Medicago truncatula: one gene and its partners. The protein of the gene in region 1 binds, or shares a complex with, the protein of each later gene. Links are inferred from orthologs where the notes say so. Each region holds a gene or a part of one and is shown in the gene's direction. Other genes may lie near its edges.

Evidence for each region.
Region 2: protein TIC 55, chloroplastic (region 1) and short-chain dehydrogenase TIC 32, chloroplastic share a complex: the UniProt entries of both Arabidopsis thaliana proteins name them as parts of the tic complex. The link is inferred for Medicago truncatula from reciprocal best matches to the Arabidopsis thaliana genes TIC55-II and Tic32-IVa.
Region 3: protein TIC 55, chloroplastic (region 1) and protein TIC 20-II, chloroplastic share a complex: the UniProt entries of both Arabidopsis thaliana proteins name them as parts of the tic complex. The link is inferred for Medicago truncatula from reciprocal best matches to the Arabidopsis thaliana genes TIC55-II and Tic20-II.
Region 4: protein TIC 55, chloroplastic (region 1) and protein TIC 20-v, chloroplastic share a complex: the UniProt entries of both Arabidopsis thaliana proteins name them as parts of the tic complex. The link is inferred for Medicago truncatula from reciprocal best matches to the Arabidopsis thaliana genes TIC55-II and Tic20-V.

The regions. Positions count from the first base shown.
Region 1 is NC_053044.1:52,261,613-52,268,631, forward strand, and holds protein TIC 55, chloroplastic, read left to right. Parts: upstream 1-3,991; 5' UTR 3,992-4,165; coding exon 4,166-4,602; intron 4,603-5,357; coding exon 5,358-5,460; intron 5,461-5,568; coding exon 5,569-6,687; 3' UTR 6,688-6,839; downstream 6,840-7,019. UniProt on the Arabidopsis thaliana protein: Involved in protein precursor import into chloroplasts. Part of the redox regulon consisting of TIC32, TIC 55 and TIC62.
Region 2 is NC_053042.1:48,849,778-48,856,676, reverse strand, and holds the start of short-chain dehydrogenase TIC 32, chloroplastic, read left to right. Parts: upstream 1-3,884; 5' UTR 3,885-3,971; coding exon 3,972-4,077; intron 4,078-5,106; coding exon 5,107-5,338; intron 5,339-5,540; coding exon 5,541-5,620; intron 5,621-6,045; coding exon 6,046-6,199; intron 6,200-6,310; coding exon 6,311-6,389; intron 6,390-6,899. Other genes in the region: short-chain dehydrogenase TIC 32, chloroplastic, read left to right, coding at 450-528, 1,125-1,209, 2,161-2,207, 2,363-2,527. UniProt on the Arabidopsis thaliana protein: Involved in protein precursor import into chloroplasts. Part of the redox regulon consisting of TIC32, TIC 55 and TIC62.
Region 3 is NC_053048.1:37,298,477-37,304,052, forward strand, and holds protein TIC 20-II, chloroplastic, read left to right. Parts: upstream 1-4,231; 5' UTR 4,232-4,283; coding exon 4,284-4,913; 3' UTR 4,914-5,056; downstream 5,057-5,576. Other genes in the region: biotin carboxyl carrier protein of acetyl-CoA carboxylase, chloroplastic, read right to left, coding at 449-600, 1,232-1,288, 1,389-1,544. UniProt on the Arabidopsis thaliana protein: May be involved in protein precursor import into chloroplasts. Not redundant with TIC20-I, TIC20-IV or TIC20-V.
Region 4 is NC_053046.1:43,070,525-43,076,304, forward strand, and holds protein TIC 20-v, chloroplastic, read left to right. Parts: upstream 1-4,249; 5' UTR 4,250-4,404; coding exon 4,405-5,052; 3' UTR 5,053-5,278; downstream 5,279-5,780. UniProt on the Arabidopsis thaliana protein: May be involved in protein precursor import into chloroplasts. Not redundant with TIC20-I, TIC20-II or TIC20-IV.

The DNA.
Region 1 (7,019 bases):
CTCTGCACTTCCGTTGTCACTTTAGTCCCGGATGTTAAAAAAATATGTTAAGTGATTATGATGATGTGGCGCATATGAGGTGTCACAGAGACCAAAGTGAAAGTAGAAAATGGTCACTTTGGTCCCTGAACCAAAAATCAATATTCCCAAATTGAATATCAAATCCCTAAATCTTAAATCCTTAAATATTATCTAATTATCTTTTTTTGCTCAAAATCAATCTTCCAAACACCAACCTACTGTTATGTTCCTGACTGTGCATACTTACTATCAGTTAGGTCCCTGACTATTAAGGATCTTTTTGGCTTGAAAGCTGATCTTGAGGCAATGATATGTTGGGCTAAGGTTTGGAGTTTTATATAGTAGTGTCATAGTGTTGTGGTTCTGTTACCTCTTTCTCCCTTTAGTATATTAATGGCATCAGGATTACATATATAGATAAATGAATTATGAAAAGTGTGTTTAATTATAATCTCTGTAAGTATTTTAAAGTTATAGCTTGATTTTTTATGTGTCTTTCAACAACAATATCAAATTTTTGGTGGAGAGATGTGAATAACTAATGCATAAATTCACTTGCTAAAATACACAGGCTTAAAGTTAATGACATTCAGATTTGTACAAGAAGGTGTTGATTCAATAGTATTAAATATCATATTCATGCTATTAAGTTACATTAAAGAACTTATGTTTTAGTTGCTTTAACTTCTCATGAAAGAAAAATTAAAGTGAGAAATTTGATAATAAACTTGGAAACATGAAAAGTACCTAGTAAGTAGAACAAATTTTGAGTTAGAAATTATGTTAAAAGAAATTCAATAGAAATGAATTATCATTTAAATATATCTTGAGCTCTTGATTATTGTATGCTCAGACCTACGGGTAGATATATGAATTATCATGTGAATATAACAATAATCAAGAGTAATAGATGCTAATGGATTTGCTAATTCATTGTCAGGGACCTAACTGATAGTAAGTATGCACAGTTAGGGACCTAACAATAAATTGTGTTTAATGGAAGATTAATTTGAACAAAATAGAGAATTAGATGACATTTAGGGATTTGAGATTTAAGTATTTAGGAATTTGATATTCAATTTAGGAATATTGATTTTTGGTTCATGGATCAAAGTGACCATTTTCTACTTTCACTTTAGTCCTTCTGACACCTCATATGCGCCACATCATCACTTAACAGATTTTTTTACGTCATGGACTAAAGTGATAACGGAAGTGCAGAGTCAGTGACCAAAATGACTATTTGCTCAATAAAATTTGTTTATCATTTAAATCTAAATTTTTGGAATTTGCAAACAGGTTTAGAACAACATAAAAATCTTGCTTATTTTAATTTTAATTTTTTTAAATATGAGATGAGATAAATTAAATATGATGTTCTAAACATGTTTATAAAAAAATTGTTCAAAAAATTTAGAGTTTAAGGTTTGTTAAACAAATTTTGTTTTATTAGGGACTAAATCTATGTACAAAAGTTTTTATAAGACTAAAAAAAACTATTAAAATTAGAAAAATATTAAAGAGTTTGTGAGGTTCTTAACCAATGTCCTTTGGACGCCGATTTACAAGACCCTTAAAATTAAATAAGGATTCAACTTAAAAAATTATCATTTTATAAGGACCAAACATATATTTAACTTTAAATTTAGTATGGATCTCATAATAAGAGGAATGACAATTTGACGTATGGTGGATTGATTAGTTTTAGAGATTCCCACGATGGTTTGGTACTTAAAGGTTTCGTTGCAAGCTTCAACATAACAATTCTCATTGTGTTGAGATGTGGGGTTTAATTCATGGGATGTGCATAGCTCACAATCTCCATCTTGCACATGTTATTTTTGAAATGGATTCTACATTTGTTGCGACCGCGGTTATTAATTGAACCACTTTTATTACCTACACTTGTTGCGACTGTGGTTCTCAAATTGGTTTGCTCTATAATTAGTGCATAGAATAGAACACTTGTTAGCAATACCCTAAAAAATAAAGAAAGTATTGCAAAAAACTTTTTCTTTGATTTATAGGTTTACTCCATAAAAATAATTAGAGTTTAACGGGAGTTGCACTCTTGGTGTAAAATAGTTTACTGTTACCTAAAGTTAGTCCACTGTATTTAGAGTATTTAGAGACTTAAAACAAATTTTATAGCAAAACTTAAAAAAAAATAAAAAAAAAATACACACATATTAATATGGAGGAATACATAAAAGAAAATTATTATGAATAACAACAAAGTAGAAATAACGTCAAAACACCATAGAGTAAACATCATAAGTAGATTGTCTGTTGCAGTGTTGTTGAATCTTTTCCTCCTTATTTATAACAAAATCATTTGAATGCAGTTATGCAAAATGTAATGAAAAAACATAAATGGCATCCTCAACAAGGATTCTCTAACATTAAAGCGAGAATGTTATTTGATTTTATTTTGGTCTCTCTCTCATCTCATCACTTATTCGACTTTTTTTGTTGGATGGATGGTTCGTCTAACACATCCATCAATATGAGGGTCGATTAAGAGAGAGAGGAGGTTCATGATTTAATCCAAGAGATGGCGTTGTTTGGGGTTAAGTCTACACCGACCCTAAATTAACTTTGAGGAGCAAATAACCACTCAAAATATTAGGGCCAAGTTGATGAGATAATGGGGGAGAAACTCTGATCCTCCCCTAGTAGTCTCATACCAAAACCTAACTCACCATTTACCCATGAAATATACAAAACATTGGTGGCCTAGTACCTGACACTTTCCTACTAGGTTTGACCTAAAGTTCACTAACAAGAACTTTTAAAAGAAAAATCACAATTGTTATTTTTTTATAAATGAGGTATTTTTTGTGCTAGCACTAATTAATTTAAGAGAAATGTTAACGAGTGTCTCCGAGGTACTCTTTAAAAACTTTTAATAGTAAGTTTTTATGAAAAATTGTGTAATCAATGCATTGAAATTTGTAACATTAGACTTTTTTAATGAATATTTTCTAAATTTAGGATCCTTAAAGAATGTCTTGGATGCACTAGTTAACAAGACCCTTTATTTAAATACAATCATACAAGAATATCAAAATACATTAACGTCATTCAATTTTTTTTTTAACTAACTCACATTTTTTTTTACTATAGATGACTATGTTCAAGCGGTCGTTAGATATTAAATATAAATGTTTATTCTAATGAATATTTCAAACACAATTAATGTTTGAATTGTGATTCCGAGTTTTGTGAAGATTATACCTCTGCTGCCAAGATTTTTTTGCGTGTTAATCCTTCGATTTATAAAAAAAAAGTTCATAGTAATTTGGACTTCAGTCAAAAGATAAGTATCATCTAACTAAAAAAATTCTCTCAAAATCAAATTTAGATTCTTCCTAAAAATTGACAAGGTACTTGACACACCACATTGTAGATAACACCAAAAATCACATGAGAATATGTGCACTCCTGTTGTGGAATCAATTTAGAGTCACATGACGTGAAGGAACATACTACATCCTTTATTTTGTATGAAAAAGAAAAACACATAACATATGGGTTTAAATAACAAACAATTATTCAGTAGGAGTATAGTCACAGTGTAGGACAAATTTATTTTGAAGATCCTAACCACACATCACATGTTACTTCCAATGGAATGCATCTATTTAGCCACGTTTGAAAATGAGCTTAAAAAATTCTACTGAGAGTTCAATTTGCTTCCTACATTTTACATCAAGAGTAGCGTTATGAGCACTCCTTTTTAAATCCACTCTCTTATTTAAAACTCAGACGAGTTCCACACTTTTTAAATCGATTCTTCCTAGCATTTCAATTCTTTACGTTAAACCTTTTATTAGTAACAGTGGACCACATTAGTGTTTTGTTTTTTTGACAAAAGTGGACCACGTTGGTTTTGTTATGGTTGTGTTTAGTCTCATATAGACACTATGAAACGACAATAGTTAACGAGAATTCATCCATGTTGCGTGTAATGGATTATGTGTCCAAATTTTCATTTTAAGGTAAAAGAATCAGCAATATTTTGTGTGGTTATGAATGTCACACGAGTCTTGCAACCACACACAACACTCACCTGAAAGTATCTCTTCTAATTCTTCTTTCTTTACCTCGATCAGTTTCTAGTACTGCTTCTTGATTTCACTCTATGGCGTTGGTAAATCCATTTCTTCTCCCTACCAAAACTCATTTTGCTTTGCCAGTTTCACCTCCACCATCCAAACAAATACTCCTTTGGACTAGCCCATCTTCCAGTTTCAGTTTCAATCTCAACAAAGGCTTGTCATCAAGCAGAAGAAAGCATGCAGGGTATCTCCCCGCCACGGCAGATGTCAAAACTGCATCAACTTTACTTGATGTGGAAGAAGATCAGAAAGTTCTAGTGGGACCTTCCAGTGAGCAAGAACGCAGGGGTGAGAGAGAACTTGCAGCTTATGATTGGAAAGAGGAATGGTACCCTTTGTACCTCACTAAGAATGTACCAGATGATGCACCGTTGGGTCTCACAGTATTTGACAAGAACCTTGTTTTGTTTAAAGATGGCAATGATCAGTTTCAATGCTATGAAGATCGGTGTCCTCACAGGTTGGTTTTAATTTATCTCGCTTCTAATTATTCTTATGATTGATTTTGCTTTCAACTTCTTTATGTGATCACATCCCATATGTAAGAATTCATAATTGATTTAACCAAAGTTGCATGCTATGTGATTAAATGAAAATAACATGATTATTGATGCAGATACAGCTCTTCTCAGTTAATACAGATTTTGTAGCTGTATACTGTGTATATACTTGGTGCTCCTAATGTTCGGGTTTATTTTTCTCTACCATGATGTGAAATCAAACTCAAGGATCAGAAACTAATCCAATGTGTTTGTCTGATAATGAGATCTATATTACTCTATTTAGGAATAAGATATTGGTATTAATAATGTTAGTGGATTGTTATGTTAGTTATTAATTATCTCTCTGTAATACCATATTTACAATACTGCTACTGCTGAGAAGAGGCTAGGGTATATTTAAACATTTGAGTATCACTGAAATTTATCAAAACAAATTTGATTCATTTAATATTTGTATCTTTCCTAGGACAGTCACTAAGTTCACCTAATGAATAATGATAGTATGTACCAATTTCAATTACTTACGAATTCCCCTGTGCTAGTTGTTTTCATAGGTGATAATGAACATTAATAAATATTCTCACGTTAACCGGCTAATTTTTTCAAAATTAAATCAAACCATCTACATTTGATTGGCAAGTAAGTATAAGAAATTATGATTTTTTATTCCTTTCACAATGCTGGACTGGATCTTATATTTTATATGATTCAGGTTAGCAAAACTATCTGAAGGCCAGTTGATTGATGGAAGGCTTGAATGCCTGTATCATGGATGGCAATTCGAAGGCGAAGGGAAATGTGTGAAGATACCTCAGGTAGGCTACTGACTTTAGAGTTCTACTCACCTATATCATGAATGTCCTTATATGGTTTGAGGCTAACAAGTAACAAGTAATAATAACTGTTTTCTCTGTTTTCAACAGCTTCCAGCTGATGCAAAAATTCCCAGGTCAGCCTGTGTTAAAACATATGAGGTGAGGGATTCTCAAGGTGTTATTTGGGTATGGATGTCACCAAAGGTACCTCCAAATGTCAGCAAAATACCTTGGTTTGAGAACTTTGCAAGGCCAGGGTTTCAAGATGTTTCAACAACTCATGAACTCCCATATGATCATTCTATTCTACTGGAAAACTTGATGGATCCTGCTCATATTCCAATCTCGCACGATAGAACAGATTGGACTGCAAAGAGAGAAGATGCACAACCGCTACTTTTTGAGGTGACAGAACGAACTGATAGAGGGTTTGCAGGTTGGTGGGGACGAGAGAAAGACGGCACTAAGCCTAACTTCTTACGGTTTGAGGCTCCTTGTGTTCTACAAAATAACAGGGAAATTGTAGATAAAAATGGTGAAATAAACTACTTCAGTGGTCTGTTCCTTTGTAGGCCAACTGGACAAGGGAAATCCATGCTGATAGTGAGGTTTGGAGGAACAAAAAGATCTCCAATAGTAAAACTGTTTCCTCAATGGTACTTCCATCAGAATGCAAGCAAGGTTTTTGAACAAGACATGGGATTCTTATCATCACAAAATGAAATTCTTTTGAAAGAGAAGGTTCCGACAAAGGAACTATACCTGAATTTAAAATCATCAGACACATGGGTTGCTGAATACCGTAAGTGGATGGATAAAGTGGGACACGGGATGCCATATCATTTTGGTCACAACACTATTTCCCTGCCCAAAGAGCCGGCTGTGATTGAACATGCGCCTGCTGGACTCATTGCAGGACTATCAGCTTCTTCACCTGCAAAGGGGGGCATTGGAACAATGCATGCTCCAAATTTAGCAAATAGATATTTTAGGCATGTAATACATTGCAAAGGATGTAGAACCGCCGTCAAAGCTTTTCAAACTTGGAAAAATGCCCTTTCGGCTGTGGTCGTTGCATTAGCTGCATTAGCAATTCTGGTTACTGGGAGACAATGGAAAGCCATCCTGTTGGCATCTGCAGCCCTGTGCTCTGTTGGAGTATATGCTTGTTCAACAGCTGTTGCATTGAATACAACAAATTTTATTAGGACACATAGGAGATTGTGAGCAACAAGTTGTAAAAAATCTCCCTTTTCAATATTACCCTTACAGCTTGTATAATGGTTTTTTATGACATCTAGTGTTGTCTCCATCTATGTAATTTAAGCCAAACAAGTAATAGAAGAAGAAAAAGTTTCTCAACAATGTGTTCAGGTGAAGAGTCACCGTCTGCTAGAAAAGCATACTGTCTATTATTTTATGTCCTTTTCAAAAACAAAACAAAATCTGTAGTAGTTTACTATACTTTATCCACAAAGAGGTCGAGAAGAAATTATATAATGATCATGCTTGAAAGAAAAAAGAAAGAAAACAATCAGTCCACAGAATTACATTGTATG
Region 2 (6,899 bases), on another chromosome or scaffold:
GGTTGGGGATGCTTCAACTTTTCACAGGTTTCCTTGGTTACAGGACGGGATGAGACTCTCGTTCATGAATATAGCATACATAGTGGACATTATTATCCCACATTTTCAAGTAGCTTGACTTCATTTCTCTAAGAATATCGTTACATCTTTTCACCTCTTGAAATGTCTCTTTTACATTTCCACCACTTACATGACATTTATTATTGTTTGGAAATTATAACTGATTCACAACTAGAACTAACAATGGAGCTGTTCTTGTAATACTTGTTGAAAGGAGATGTGTTATGTACTTATGTGTAGATAGTTATGTTTAATTCCTTGTTTACAGTTGAAACAATTCGCTTATCTTAGTTGCATGAAGAATTAAGAGTGGAAAAGTTGTTTCTGTAGTATTTGTCGACTGGAGTAATGTTATTCCAATTTAATTATGTTTGCTTCCTTGTATACAGTTACAGCAAATGGGGTGCATATGGACAGTCAAAGCTTGCTAATATTTTACATGCCAACCAACTTACAAAACATTTCAAGGTATGGTATGCTTACTTCTACTATATAGTGGTGTTACTTATTTAACATGTTATCCAGTGAAGTAGTTTATTGATAGTGTTATTATCTCTCATTATTTTAACCTTAATCTCGATGTAACAAGTTCTATTTTATTATTTTTAGAAGTGCTGTAGCATTAAATCTGCATATTTCTTCTGTGGAAAATTACTTTCTTCTGCAGTGTGAACTGTGAATGGAAGAATTTTGATTTAGAGTTACTTGTTTTTTTTACAGCATTTGTCTTCAAACTACACTTATAAATCATAATCCTTTTTACAGCATCTGCTATCTTAATCACCTATCAATTGGTGACTGGTTTTTTTATTATAAAATATCAATGACCAAATATTGTTAAACATCAACTTTAGTGGATGTTTTATCCGCCTCCATTCCAACTCCACCTAGTTGGAACAGGCTTTAGTTGTTGGTGTTCCTTCATTCAAGTCTCTGAAAAAGACGCAAACTTTGCATCCCTTTTGGCAACCATAATCATAGCTTTCTCAGTCTCCCTCCCTTTTGATGGTTTTGCCACAATAATTATCTTTGATTTATAACATTACTTGTTGCATTTTGATCAGGATGATGGTGTGAATATCATTGCAAATTCTCTTCATCCAGGAGGCATTGCCACCAATCTTTACCGTCATAACAGTGCAATCAACGGTAACTATTATAGCATTATACTATTCAGGTTGTCTATGAATTATTATACAAGTCCTCTGATGTGGCATTCTAAATTATTTGTTCTGTATCATCTACCGTTATGTGGCACTATCTTTCTTTGTTAACTTCATGTTACTTGTCCTAAAGAAATTTTCGGTGGATTTTACAATGATATAAGTTCTTATCTGTCTACATTGCTCTAGGTGTTTTATCCTATATTTGGTACATGATTATTGTTCAGAACCCACCATCTAATAATATTATGATTAAGGTTGGTCGTTGCCCCCCTCTGAATTTTGAAGAATACAAACATGTTTTTTTTTAACAAGGAAGAATATAGACATGTTAAAGACCACAATCAACCTTGTAAGCATTCATCGGAAACATGATCACCATGATCGCCGAGAGTCTGAAACAAAAAGACTTTGTACTCCCTCCTAACTATTTTGTTTGTTTGTACTATTTTTATTTCAATTCTAGTAATTTATCTTTCTTATACTATTAAAGAAGGCTAATTTTCTAAAGTAAGCCATACGTTTTATAAAATCAACAAAATTAATTACGTTTCTTAATTCGTGCATTATTTGCTAAATTGACTAATATTGAAGGACAGAGTGAGTAATTTACAGCACTTGATTGGTACACCAAGTCATCCATAATGTACAACAACAATAAAATCATCCTAGAAGTTGGATGCTTTGTCAGTCTCTCCACTATTCTTCCCTAACCATTTACATTATTACTTTATTGTCATCAAGCACTTCATTGTGTTTATCTGACTACTACTATAAATACATTTGATGATTTTGAATTGGGTGGTTTTTCTGGTTTGTTTGTTTACACACTGGCATTCTGCAGTGTCCATAAAGTTTGTTTGCTTTTTCATGTGTAGAGATATTGACAGTAGCTGAGTTCTATAGATATACTATTGATGTTTGATTTATGCAACAGGTATAGTAAATGTGGTTGGCAAACTTGTGATGAAAAACGTTCCACAGGTATGTCAAAATCATTATGACCTACTATTTATAAATGTGAGGGGTCATGTCAAATAAATATTGGTTGTTATAAACATTTATTAACTAAACATAGATTATAACTTTATAAGCTTTCTGCTAGTTGCATGTTAACTTTCTCCTCTATCTAAATGTAGGGGGCAGCCACAACCTGCTATGTAGCATTGCACCCACAAGTGAAGGGAGTTAGTGGTGAATATTTTTCAGACAATAATGTGGCCAAATCAAGTTCACATGGGAAGGATGCTGATTTGGCTAAGAAACTTTGGGATTTCAGCATGAATTTGATCAAGGACAAATAGAATAACCAAGTGTTGTATAAGAATGAAAATGACATTGTAATGTGTGTGCACGAAACTAATTGATAAAAAGAAAATGGAAATAACATTCATTGTTCATGTCAATGTGAAATGCATCTATAACATAATTGATTGTCACGTTTGAAACAAGATTGTAATTCAATATGAAATAGGGTCCCTTAATATGGACCTCTTGTAAAAGGGTCCAAACATGGTCCTCCTAAATCAAACCGAATATTGCCCTTTTTGTTCTTTGGTTTATTATTATTATTATTATTATTAGGTTTTGCTGTTCATTTAGAGTGAAGTGGTAGACTCCGGAAATACACTTGTGCGACATTGTGATGTTAATGTATGTATTTTGAAACGGATAGAGTAATTAACATGAAATATTTTTTTTGAAATAATGAAATATTTTTATACTACAGATTTTCAAATTCATAGTTTACCTTTTTAATTCATATTTTACATTTTTATTTTTTGCAAAAGGCAAAATGGCTTATATTAAACACAAGGTAGAGTACAAATATAAAGTCATTAATAAGGCTTCTACCAAAAAAAAAAAAAAAAAAAGGCAATAAGGCAAGCACTTTATGCAGCAAGAACCCCACTCTGAGGAGTGAAGACAAGAGGACAACCATTCCTTCAATCAATCCAACTCCCTGACTGAGTGAGTGTAATTGTAGAAACAACACAACTCAACTAAACAACTTAGTACCACACATTAAATTCCACCTCACCAACTTGGCCACATCCAATCCAGTGCACTAAATTACTAAGGGTAGAAAAGAACTCTTATATCGTTTGAGGAACTCTTTTTTATTTTATTTTTTTATCTTTTATTGAGTTAGACTTATGTCCCCCTAATTTTATGTTTATGTTTTTTTATTTCTTGAATAAATTTTTAGTTTATAAAAAAATTAGGAATTGAAGAAAACATGTTGACATTTTTTCAAAAATAAATGTTGTTGGTGTATACAAATTAAATCATTTGATTGAAGAAAACATTTTCCTCATTTAGTATACTTCAATCCTTTTATCTCAATAGATAGAATATAATGTAATGAAATAAGTTGTAAAATAATAATTAAATGAAATAAATTTAATGATTTTAGACGGAAAAAGAAAAAATCTTCCCATAATTTGAAATTAAAGAAAAAAGTTTGAATAAATACAGAAATGGAATTAGATTATTTTTTGAATGAAGAAATTGAATATCGACAGATAAAATAATTACTTTTATGGACAAAGATAAAATGTTTACTTTTTCTACTATTTCAATATATACATATATGATATAATAAAAAGAGATAAAAAAAGTTTGATGTGTTTCCATATCATCCAGATATATAGTAGCGTCACGTCAGTTACAACAAGCACTGCAATTGCAATATATCTCGGTCACTGCTTTTGTGACACACGGCAGAGAAAGAGATTGATACGCAATATGTGGCCATTCAGCAAGAAAGGTGTTTCTGGTTTTTCATGGAACTCAACTGCTGAACAAGTCACACATGGAATCGATGCTACTGGTCTCACTGCCATTGTTACTGGTTGATCTTTCTTTCTTAATCATTTCCCAAAATGGTATCTCTTCATGCAAACAATTTTATACGTACGTGAATGTTTATGTTAATATATGTAAATTCAAACAGACGCTAAAAAGATTATGATGAAGACTACTATTATATCTACACGAAAATCTTTTTAGTGTCTATTTCAATTTGCATACTTGAGTTTATATATTAACATAAACATTTGTGAGATTGATGAGGGAGTTTATATATATAAATATCCTATATTATATTCATAAACGTTTTCAGCTTATGTTAATAAGTTCTTTAGGACAACTTGTGAAAATAGTTTAATTTTATTATATCTTTTGGTTGAATACAATTTTGATTTCCAGAAATTGCATAAAAAAATTATGCAGTATTGTATTACTTTGTAGCTTTGCATCACATAAGCATAGGTTTTGGGATGAATTATTTACAAGCTTTTTCGATAAAGATCTAAGACCCCCCATATTTAACTCTATCCAATTTAGCCTCCGCAATACCACTTTTTTGTGTTAACTCAGGAGAAAGGTCCGGAGTTTGTAAGAAAAGTTTCGCCAAGAATTGTTTCACCAGGAATCAAACTCAAGTTATCCTGAACACTAACAATTCGTTTTTGGTAAAGCGTATTAACCACTTGAGTCCAATTGCTTGGATGGTGCAATATCCCTTTAAAACTACTAGTGGTGGTAGTAAATAATAATGATCTACAGCCAATCTCAAAATATTGAAATTTGCAAACAGTTTTCTTAGATTAATCATGATTTATCTCTTAGTTTTTTTCTCTTTATCTTCTTCTGGATTACATATCCATAAGATTTTTTAAAATGGTTTGTGAATCTAACTGTGGGCACATTTTGACAGCAAATTTTTGAAATATAAAAAATTGTGATTGTAAATTGTAATGCAACCACGACCACAATTTGAAACCCTGTATATGCATGCTACATTGAAATCATTGATAAATAAATATCGAGATGTGTGACTATTTTAATGCGGTATAGTATATGGTCATTGTGGTAACAGGAGCATCCAGCGGCATTGGCGCTGAGACTGCTCGTGTCCTTGCTTTGCGCGGTGTGCATGTGATTATGGGTGTGAGAAACTTGGTTGCTGCTAAAGATGTCAAAGATACAATACTCAAGGACATTCCCTCAGCCAAACTTGATGCCATGGAGTTAGATCTCAGCTCATTGGACTCTGTCAAGAAATTTGCATCTGAGTATAATTCTTCTGGTCGTCCACTGAACATCTTGATGTAAGAAAATGAGATTAATTTAGTCATATAATTATCAGATTTATTTTTACTGTTTTATTGAAGTTGTTAGTTACTTGTTCTGTCTCATTATATATGTTTGTTATTTCTATGTTCCAACTTCCAATTGTGCTTTCTTAATTACAATCATTCAAGTCAACACATTAGTACTAATTTTTCTTGTTTGTTTGTTTGCAACTGTAAGAAATAATGCAGGAGTTATGGCATGCCCTTTCAAGTTGTCCAAAGACAACATTGAACTGCAGTTTGCCACCAATCACATAGGTATGTGGTGCATGTTACTGTTTTATTCTCCGGAAAATTCATTTGATGACCGACACAGTGACATTAATCAATTTTAATAACCTTTTACTCTTCTTGTAATATGAATTATTCACAAACTTTCCAGCACTAGAGTGGAAAGGGAGGAGAACTTTGCCACTTGCAATAGTTTATAGGGAGCACAGGACATGTGTTTTATTGATTTCTAATTCAAAGAATTTAACAATATCAGGGATAAAAGTGATAGTTTGTACATCACTGAAATATGTGTAATTTACACTTCTGATCCATCTCAATCAACTTATGTAACACATCAAGTAACTATTTTACTGTTTTTTTTTGTTGAGAATTTTACTGTATCTTTTAATACATAGGATGAGAAGAAGCAATATTTCTGATTTTATTTATGAATTATTGTAATTACGCAGGTCATTTTCTCTTGACAAATCTTTTGTTGGATACTATGAAGAAAACAACACGCAAAAGTAAGAAAGAAGGAAGAATTGTTAATGTCGCCTCAGAGGCTCATAGGTTCGCATATTCTGAAGGAATCCGTTTTGATAAAATCAATGACGAATCAAGGTAAATGTCATGTGATTGATTTTGTTTTCTTCCTTGATTACATTTTATTAGCAATTGGCTAACATTAGTTGCATGGTGAATTAAACTTGGAAATGTGACCTCTTTATACAGTTACAGCAGATGGGGTGCATATGGACAGTCAAAACTTGCTAACATATTACATGCCAACCAACTTACAAAGCATCTCAAGGTATGCTTACTTCTACTACATGTTATATGTTTTACCATAATTCAATATAAGTTAGCATTATTGTACCTCACTTGTCTTAATGTTTTGGTTGATTAATAAAAAGGATGTCCTTAGTTAGGTATGTGTTCTTTTCTTTGTCCCTTGAGCTTTTATCAGTTGACAAAGAAACTGATATTTCTGACTAAACATAATCAGACTATAGCATGAGTGCATGACCTCTTTGGCTTTACGGCCTGTTTGGTAGAGTCCATAAAAACAACTTATGATATGTCCCTAAGTTGTTTTCAGCTTATTTCCATGAACTCTACATGATAGCTTATGAAAACAACTTCTAGCTTATATGGAAATAGTTTGACTTTATTTTATCTTTTATCATAGATATATTTCATACATACGCACTTATATGAGGAACTTTTATTCGATAAGTGCGCTTAGTTAAGTTGTTTATCGAGATAGAGCCTTAACTTTGCTTGTTATGTACAATTAGTTGCTTAATTATCTACTAATTAA
Region 3 (5,576 bases), on another chromosome or scaffold:
CATATATAATTAATGAGGGAAAAATAAGAAGGTATAATTAATGACGACACTTAATTTGATTTTTTTTTTTTTTTACTTTTGGTAAAACAACTACTACCTCCGTCCCTAATTATAAGACACTTTTGAAAAAATAATTTGTCCCTTTTTATAAGACTCCTTTGATATTTTCAAGTACATTAATTATTTCTTTACCAACATACCCTTATTTATTTTGCATCTTTTTCTTCAATCAACAATAAATATTATATTGAAAACATAAATTAACTCTCTCTTAAGGATAAAATTGTAAAAACAATAGTAATTATATACAAATTTAATACTACAACCAACTTTCTTAATCTCTGCAATTTTGGAAAAAGGCTCCTATATTTAGGGACGGAGGTAGTATTAATTTTGAACAGAGGAGTAGCATTTATCAAGTTCAAGATTGAAGCAGCCGGGTACTTACTTGACAAGACTTGCAATTTGATCAAAAAGTTCAGAGATTGATTCTTGATCTGCCAAGACTGAAGAAGATGGTTCAACTGAAGGTGCGGTCGGTGGTTCAACATCTGATTTGGCTTTAGGAGGCACATCATTAGAAGAACCATCAAGGGCAACCTTGTTGAAGCCAAAAAAAGAGACCAAAATCAGCATAGAAACATATGTCTATGTGGACGCAGTGCGCACATATCTATCAAGAGAACAGATTTTGGCAAACTTATAGTTTGCAGCATAAATGTATGTATTTTATCACAAACTCAACTGTTAATTTTCCAACCAATGATTGTAATTTTGTGTTTTTTTATGAGGAAAATTCAATCTAAACTCACATAAAGCTATGTTACAGTAGCACTGACACTTCAGATTTAAAGAAACAACTTAATTTGCAGCTTATAGCATAAGCACTTACGTATAAGTTACTTCTATAACAAAAGATAAAATTAAATTGAAGTGTTTTCGTATAATCTATAAGCTGTTTCCATAAGCTATCTTATAGAACATATGAAAATAACCTGAAAACAGCTTACGAACATATCATAAGTTGTTTTCATAAGTTCTCCAAAACAGTCTCTCAAGTGTTTATGTCAGTAAATTAACTCAAATAAGTCAATTCAAACAGCCACAAACATTAAAGGCCTCTCAGGTGGTGTCTGACACGGAAACAATACCGGCACTGCGTGTCAGTATCATGTTCGGTGTTCGTGTCTGTGTGTTCATAGATATGAAGTGTAAAAGGGAGAATGTTTACCTCATTTAGTTGAGCCTTAACCCTGGGGCATAATAGCATATGATTAGGTGGGCATCCCTGCACAAAGACATACATAAATTAGTGACAATTTGAATTAAAAAGAAAGTATAAATATAAATTTAGGAAGATAAAATGTGATATGGAAAGAGATAGATACCTTGGTGAAAAAGCGGAGAGAGTTGTTGGAATTAGGAGAGAGACGAGGGAAAGAGATGGAGGAATGAGAAAAGCGTGCAGATTTGGTGGAAGCTGCAGCTGCAACAGTGACAGTAGGAGCAGCAGAAGGTGAAGTGGAAGACAACGAGGAAGCCATGAAACTGAAACTGAAACAAGCAAGTTTTTTGATTGATGTCGGATCGATGAAATCTAAGGTACTTACTCTTTGTTGTGTTCAGTGGGGTAGCTCAACTACACTAGCGCACACTTACGATATCCAATGCATCTACTTTTTTTTTTTTTCAAGTGAATAATATTTTTCACTCTCTCTCGTAAGAAATAATTTACTTTGAAAACTCACACAAAAATAAAAAACAATTTAAGGTTCAAACTTTATACTCGATCAATACAAAGAAAAAAAAAAGTTCGGTCCAACACTTTCAGCTGAGTTGGGCATTGTAGATTCAAAGGGATGGGCCTGTATTTATATTTTAAATATGAAGAAGTATCAATCAAAAAAATTATTATAATTAATTATATTGATTAAGTTTAAGTTTCGAGTTCATGCCCTATTAGCACTCTTGAGAAAATGTAAATGAAAATCTCTTTGTAATTGTAATTTAAATATTAAAGACTTTCTTGCATTGAATTAAGCATCCCCTCACTTTAAATTTCTCATATAAAACAATATTATTATTGAAATCTAAATTTTATAGTTATATATATTCAACAATGTAAGTGATTGATAATATCCACCTACAACATAGTTGATCCTATCGAACCTGAGATTTTGTAGTTGATGATGTTGAATGGCTTTTAAGTAAGACATTTCCTTCAGTTGTTGCATTTATCTTAGTCGCCTGCGGCCTTCTTCTCCAAGTGAATCCGACGTTCAAATCAGTGAGTGGCATGGGCGGTAGGTGCATATGTGTAAAGTGAACGCACTTGACCTCATGCTTATGAGCCAATATTTATGGCGGCAATTTAAGGTTTTAGTCCTTGTACCTTTACCTGGGCAACTGTGAGAGTTTGGTCCATGGCAGATTTGTGCCACTGATCCATGTTGGTTGTCCAGATTTAATTAGATTGCTCTTGTTCCACACACCCTGCTGGTTGTTCATCTTCAGTATGTGTGCTCTTATGCCACAAGCCTCTTTAGCTGTTCATTTGTTCTCATTCGATTCCGTTCACTCCTATGCCGCAGCCCCATGTACTCCTTTTTGCGAGGAGCCCTTTAGAACTTATTAGTTGTTGGGTGTCAGCCCATACCAGAACAGTTACCCCCCCCCCCCCCCCCCAACTATTAGTTGATAGACTCGAGTGATAGTTGCGTATGAAGGTGGATGGGAAGCCCTTGTTGTTTAAGTTCGTTCATACGTCATTTCGTTTCTCTGCGAATCAAAATATGCTTTGGGAATAACCTTTTATTTAAGAACATCAACACAATCATATAGACGACAAGCATCGCTAACATTCTCGTTTATTATTGCATTGTACATGTCTTTAACTGTGCGACCACCTCGTGAAGCTTGATTCCAAGATAAAGTACCATTCACGTTAACTTACAACGAAACCTTAGCCAACGAAGTCCCGATAAGGCATCCAAAGGATGTTGTGGTCTACATGCACTCGTGAAGAGTCAGATCATACAAAATCATATACTCGAAGCATTTTGGAGCCCTTCATTTTATCCAATGATTGCCTGACCATCGTGCCTCAAGGGTAAATCCAATACATCCACACAAGTTCTATAAACAGGTGTGTCACATGGAAAACAAGGTACACACTCTCATTTCAAGAAATCTTCTCAATGCTCGTTGAAACTTCACTGACTTTAGCGTTGGGGTATCTTTGCAGGTACACCCTCTTACATTCATGAAAAATCTGCTCTAACCACCGTGAACCAACACAACAATTGTTTCACACCACCTCCAATAGACTCTTACATTCGATGACAAGAACAAATATAAAACACGAAAAAAAGATGTACATACATATACACCATATGTGAAGATATTACATCTCGTCTTATTTCCAAAAATCATTAAAAAAGTACTCAAAAGATATTCAATTAATCATATTATATTTTATAATCTCAAAAAAAAGAAAAAAAAATTACCAGAAAATAAATAATAGGGTTAATAGTGCTTTTCACCCCTGTAATATATGTAATTTCTGGTTTTCGCCCCCATAAAATTTTCGGTTTGATTTTCACCTCGTAAAAATTTTATTTTCCGGAAAACACCCTTAATAGGCCATTCAAAAACCAAAATTTCTTGAAAAAAAAATATGAAAATGGCCTATTAGGGGTGTTTTCCGAAAAATAAAAATTTTACGATGGTGCAAATCAAACTGAAAATTTTGTAGGAGCGAAAATCGGAAATGACATATATTATAGGGGTGAACAACACTATTAACCTTAAATAATATATACTTGAAAAATAATATAGTTTTGGAGAATGCTAATCATTGTCCTTGGGACATTAGATAAGGGGATAAAAATAGAAATATAGTATTAGAAAATAGTGAAAAATGATAAATTTAACTTTTTAAAAATCAAAATGTTGAAATCAATGCAAACATGTTACTTTTGGGCAATGGTTAGCAAGACCCTATAGTTTTTGAGAAATGATATTTGTACAACAATTTTGGTACAACTTTTGTACAACTTTCTCTCTCATACTCACATTATATTTTTATTTCTCTCTCCAATATTTTTTACCAATGAAAAGAGAGAATAATAAAAGTTGTACCAAAATATTTGCCAAAATATCACTACTCATAGTTTTTTACCGGCCCAATGAAAGTAACTGCATGCAGCAGCAGATAAAGGATCTAAAACAGTTGTTTAATTCCATTTTGCAGAAGTTACCAAGAACCGATTCTGAAACCAAAAATGGCTTCCCTTTCTATTCTCCACCGTCCCTGCATTTTTCACCACACCCCCAAATCCTCAACCCTAACCCTAAAACCAAAACCCAATTCCCTTTCATTCTCACCCTTAACTAAACCATCACTCAAACTCAAACTCAGAAACGGCGTCGTTAAAGCAAGCACATCCACACCCGCAGCACCAGAACGGTTAATCTCAATCGCCGCATACGCACTTCCATTCTTCAATTCCCTTCAATATGGTCACAACATTCTCACCCAATACCCTAAAGTCGCACTCCTCTTCGACCCAATCATCCCTTTCCTCTCATTCTACAGATCCCTCCCTTACGCTTCGTTCATAGCGTTCTTCGCGCTTTACTTGGGAATTGTGAGGAACCCTATTTTTCCACAGTATGTTAGATTCAATGCTATGCAGGCTCTGACATTAGATGTGCTTCTGGTTCTTCCGATGCTGTTTCAGAGGATTTTCTCTCCTGGGAGATATGGATTAGGTTTTAAGATTTTGGTTTGGTCGCATAATGTTGTGTTTGTTTTTAGTATTCTGTGTTTTGTTTATAGTGCTTTGTGTTGTCTTTTGGGTAGGACTCCTTACCTGCCTTTTGTTGCTGATGCTGCTGCTAGACAAATCTGAATATCATATGATAGATTATAGGATTACTATGTGTTGTATTGAATTGTATCAAACAAACAATTACCTCTCTTTTGCTGTTCTGTTAGTTATTTTGGGTTACTTGAATTAATGAATGAATACAATTAATTATCCTTTTCAATTTATGGAGTGTTTGATGTATCACATTATTTGTGGTATAAGATGAAATGTGAAATGAAGTTAGATTTTATAAACTTTTATGGGTTATTTTACGATTGTGAAAAACGTAACTAAACAGTGAATCCATGATAACTCACTAAATTCTTTGACAAATAGACAACATTACCCGAACAAAATTCACTTCTTGGTTTACATGGAATTTGACGTTGCCCATGTACTTCCTAATGAAAAGTACTAGAAGTGGCAACAACTTATCACTTGTTATGCAGTTCTGAGTTTAAGAAATCTCATGATTTATGGATTAAAATTTGGAAACTTCAAGTTCAAGAGAGGATCAAATTCTTTCAGTGGCTCGCGGTTCATGGTAGGTTGATGGGGTAGTTCTTGTTGTAATTTGTGTGGGGCCGAGTCAGGAACTATTTTACATGCTCTGAGGGATTGTTCTTATGTAATGGTGCTTTGGCTTAATGTTGTTAGATTACAGATCAAGGATAATTTTTTTGCTGTGAGCTGCTGTAATGGATC
Region 4 (5,780 bases), on another chromosome or scaffold:
GCTTTAACCATTCAAAAGCGGTGAGGGCTTCGGTCCTGTTTGGTACCACATGCATAATTGTATATTTTGAGGAGTCTTAGTGGTGTTGTCATGTCTTGCATGAGTCTTAGCGGTGGTGTCGAGTTGTTGCATGAGTCGTTGTTGTTGGTTTTAATTATCATTTGGTTGATGTTGTTAATGATGATATACTTATATATTGATGAATTATTTTTATGACAGGGTGATAGATTTAATTGATGAGTTAGATATCTATTATTGATGATATTGTTGATTATGAAATATATACATATATTGGATAATTGTAGTTATCGTCGTTGTTGGTTGAATTAGTAAGTGTTACTAAAGTTAAAGAAGTAAGAACATTATTGTTAAATATATGTAATTGTTTATATTGTTATGATGTGATGATTATGTTGTGTCGTTTATATTATTATGAGAAGATGTTTATGATAATGATTACGAAGTTATGATGACTGTTTATGGTGTTGAATATGAGGTTGTTATGATGTTACATGATGATGATTATGAATGTTGTGATGATGATTATGTGATGTTATCTATGAGTTGTTAAATGTACTTGATGATAGTTATGTTAAGTTGATAAGTTGTCTTTTATTTATGAATTGCTAATGGAATGTTTGATGAATAATTATTATTATGGAATGATGATGTTACGTATAGTTGCTAAGTTGTCCTCTATTCATGAGTTGTTAATAAGGTGCTTTGGTGGAGAATGTTAATACGAATTAATGATGTTGTTATGTTGTATATGAACTATGAATATGATGTTGTTACGTTGTTTATGTCATTGATTATGAAGTTGTCATGTTGTATACGAATTATAAGTATGACGTTATATGATTATGATTAAGATGTTGATTATGAAGTTAAATGATGTTGTTTATGATATCGAGTTATGAATGTTGATATGATGAGTACATGATATGGTTTAGGAGTCGTTAAAAGAATTATTATTACTAATTGATGGAGTTTAAGTTGTTAGATGCATTTTGATGAATTATATATTATTATTATTGATTGTGAATCTCACCCCTTCTGCTTGAAAATGTTGCCCTTCGTATGGGTAACTTGCAGGTAATAAAGATTAGTAGGAGTGGTGGCTCAACTGTCTAGGACTCTGATACGTACGGGATGGGATTTAGTTATATTTATTTTCATTCCTTATGTATCAATTTTGAAATTATGATGTGGAGCCTTTTATGGTCTTTTGAACAATGTTGTTGACTTATGCTGAGGCCTTTAGTGCCATAAACTGTTGTTGGATGTTCACGATGTTATTGATTTGAAAACTATTCCGCTGCTATGTTTTCATATTTTATCAAGTTGTTTTAATTAAATAGTATTATTTTCTATTTAAGAAATTTTGAAATGACGTGTAACATGCCCGTTGTGGAACTACTCTGATGAATATTTGTTATATAATTGTTTTTGGGTAACGGGGTGTTACAAAAAGTGCTGAAAGAGATAGTTTTCTTTATATATAGTATAAATACTATATATAACTAGCGAAAAAACGGGCACGTGACATGTGTAAATTATGAACGGTATTTTATATGAAATTTTGATTTTGATTAAAATTATAAGTACAAATATTTGTGAAATTAAAATTGTAATAAACCAAAAAAAAATCATGTTTATCTTTTACCACAACAACACAGTAGTTTAACAAATATAATATAAATTCTTATCTTTTTTTAATACCACCAAGAATGTAACATTAATATAGGAAAATTTGTTTAAGGGTATAATTGAAATTATAAAAAATTCAGCCCAAAGTCTCTATTCCCTTCATATATAGTATATATAGTATTTTGTCAAAAAAAAAAAAAGTATATATAGTATTGTTCATGTTGTAGTGGTATATTTCCTATTTTAATGAGATTTCATTTTTCTAATTCAAATTTAATATAATATTATTAAAGGATAAAATAGTAAATAAAATAGGCTTAATTGCACTTTTGGACCCCTAACTAATTTAAATACAAAACAGCCCCCTATGTTTTGATTTTTTTGCCAATTTTGGACCCCAATCCATTGTTGACTCGGTCAACGATGACGTGGCACCCAAAGTGAGGTGCCACTTGTCAATTTTTTTTTTTTGCCTTGGGGGTCCAAAATTGTTAAAGAATCAAAACATAGGGGACTGTTTTGTATTTAAATTAGTTAGGGGTCCATAACCGCAACTTTTGGAAAGATAGGGGTCCAAAAGTGCAATTAAGCAAATAAAATATTTTAAATGAATAGTAAAATCAATAGTATATACATATAAAGTAATGTTTTTATGCCACATGTTGCCTTTGTAATGCCCTGAATTCTGGTAGAACCGTGCACTTGCGGTTTTATCTCATCAGTCATCGAATCTATATAAAAATATGAATTTATATAAAAGAATGATATTTAAAATATAAAAAAATTAATTGAATGAATTCATTTTTTTTTTTAAGAAATATTTACTATTTCATAAATATACACATATAAAATGATTTTTTTTTTTTTATACTAAAGCTAGGTTATAACTTATAAGACCTTGCAAAAAAAAAAATTATTACCTTTAAACAATTTATCTAATTCAAATGAAAGATAGTACCTAAAATAAATCATAATTCGGTGGATCACAAATGAAACATTGTTGTAGGTCATCGAATCTATATAAAAGTATGAATTTATAAAAAAGAATGATATTTAAAATATAAAAAATCAATTGAAAGAATTCATTTTTCTTAAGAAAAATTTACTACTTCATAATTATACACACATAAAATGATTTTTTTTTTTCACTAAAGCTAGGTTATAAAGGCACTGCAAATAAAAATAAAATAATTTGCTCACTAATAACATAATTTTGAATTCCAAATTATTTCATAAAAAACGTAGAGTTTTTCTATTCACACCCTATATATTTCTGGTTACACCCAGTTTTTTTAAAAAGTTTTTGATAATACCAAAATTGTCCTTTTATATAAATTTTCTTAAAATCTTGATTTCATTCATTGTCACTCTAAAATTCCACTCTCTTTCACCCACCAACGATCAAACAATCCTGATGTTCAATTAATCGTTATGGAAGATTAAAGAGTGAATCAAAACATCTTTCATTCATACTCGATTGCATATAAATAAGTGAATTTTTTCTTCTTTTTCAATAACGCTGGTTTCAATTTTCTTCTTCTTGTTCAACTGCACTATACGACAGTTTCAGTTTTACATTGTTGAGGTTAACTTAAATTCAGTTTAAGTAGGTTCATGTAAACTTAGTTTACATAATCTACTTCAACTTAGTTTACATAACCTACTTAAACTGAGTTTAAGTATGTACACTTAAACTCAGTTTACATGACCTACTTAAACTAAGTTTAAATGTACATACCTAAACTGATATTACGTATAATCATTGAACAAGGTTGAACTTTTAGATGTACACTTAAACTGAGTTTACATGACCTACTTAAACTGAGTTTAAGTATGTATACTTAAACTCAGTTTACATGAGCTACTTAAACTAAGTTTACATGATCTATTTAAACTGAGTTTAAGTATGTACACTTAAACTTAGTTTACATGACCTACTTAAAATAAGTTTACATGTACATACTTAAACTGAGATTACGTAGAATCGTTAAACAATGTTGAACTTTTAAATGTACACTTAAATTCGGTTTACATGACTTACTTAAACTGAGTTTAAGTATGTACACTTAAACTCAATTTACATGACCTACTGAAACTAAGTTTACATGACCTACTTAAACTGAATAGGGATCTAGGGTGTAACCAAGAAAAAAGGAATATGCTTTTTGAAAATTAAATTTTATGGAAAGGTAATTTTGTCATTTTGGGGTGCAACCAAAATTAAACAGGGTGTAATTAGAAAAACTCAAAAATGTATTGATCAAGTGGTTCCAGAGTACATTTTAAATAGGTGGGAGCACCCAGGTTCGATTCTCAGGGGTGATAATTTTAATTTTTAATGATTTTTGCCAAGCTGAAAAAGAGGTTTCGAGAGTGATTGGATTAGAAGTGAAATTTAATTATTGTGATGGTTTAAATCGTAAAAAATCATTAATTTAAGATGAAGTGAATATGCAAATAATAAAATACTTGCTAAATTTTTGCAAAATAAAATAATAAATGTTATTATTCTAATGGAGTATACATGAAAACTTTTGATTGGTTTGGATAAATTGCTCATGAGTTTTCAAAGGCAACCTAGACATCTAATTGAAGTATAGACCATACTAAGAATACTAGTTTGAAAGAGAAACACGTTCTACCATACCTATCCTTGTCCTTCTTCTCTTTGCCCTTTTCCCACTTTCCAGTTCCTATCTTTACCTTACCCTCCCAAACTACCATTCATTCATTTTCAAGTTTGAAGCTTTAACCATGGCAAGCTCCACCTTCTTCTCCTCTGTAGCTATATCATCTCTCAGTCACTCACGAAAACCACTTCAATCAACCTTTCTCCTTTCTTCACCAAACCCTTCTTCTCTTTTCACACTTCCAAAGAAATTCACAAAATCCAACAAACTCAGAACCCTAATTGTATCCAAATCCAATAACAGTGATTCAGCTGATGCCAGTGACCGTTTAATTTCAGCTCTTTGTTACTTCTATCCCTTTTTTGATGGCATTCAATATGGAAAATTTGTAATCACTCAATTTTACCCAATTCAAGCCATTGTTCAACCATTGATTCCTGCAATTAGGGTTTTTAAAAGCTTTCCCTTTAATGGGTTTCTTGTGTTTTTGACACTTTACTTTTTTGTTGTCAGAAATCCTAATTTCAGTAAATATGTCAGGTTCAATACAATGCAAGCTATTGTTCTTGATGTGCTGTTGATTTTTCCTGATCTTTTGGAAAGAGGGTTTAATCCAAGAGGTGGGTTTGGATTGGATTTGTTGATGAGTTTGGATAGCACTGTGTTTTTGTTCTTGTTGGTGTGTTTGATTTATGGCTCTTCTTCTTGTATTTTGGGTCAGCTACCTAGATTGCCTATTGTTGCTGATGCTGCTGATAGGCAAGTTATGTGAATGTAGTTCATTTGTATTGTATAGAAACTTATTGTTTAAATTCAGCTTATTTCATAGTGGAAAAAATATTGATTTTTTCACTTAATTAATAGCAAGCCTAGAATCTTGTAAGGAAACAATTTTATTTGTTTCTCATTTTGCTGTATTGTTATATGATTTTCAAATTCATTGGTGAATTTGAGACACTGCTGAACTTCAATACTAGTATATTGTTTATTGAATAGAACTTATGTCTTTAGTTCTTATTACATTGTTGATTTTTAGTTTAAGCTATAGTGTTATCCTTTGAGAACACTAAGGATATTGAGGCCTGTCACTGTTCAATGTGATGATTGCATATGTTGCTTTGCAATGATTGCAGTGTTATTATGTAGATTTTTCTGTAATTTTCAAACCTACGCCGATCCTAATGTGATGCAGTTGCTGACAGTATTGCAGCTGCATTAGTTGATGCATTAGTCGATTTGGTGTAGCCACAATTTAAACCCATAGGTTATTTGTTAGGGAGAAAAGGAGACATAGATCAATGAAACAGATTTCATTTGTTTCGTATTTTGCTGTGTCTTTATATGAATTTCACATTCAGGAGTTTCTTTGTTTGGCTATAGTTTTTGGTGAATTTGTGACACTGAAAAACTTCCTTTACTATATAGATTGTTGTTAATTGAATAGAACTAATGCCTCTAGTTCGTATTAGATTGTCGGTTTTTTAGTTTGATCTATACTCT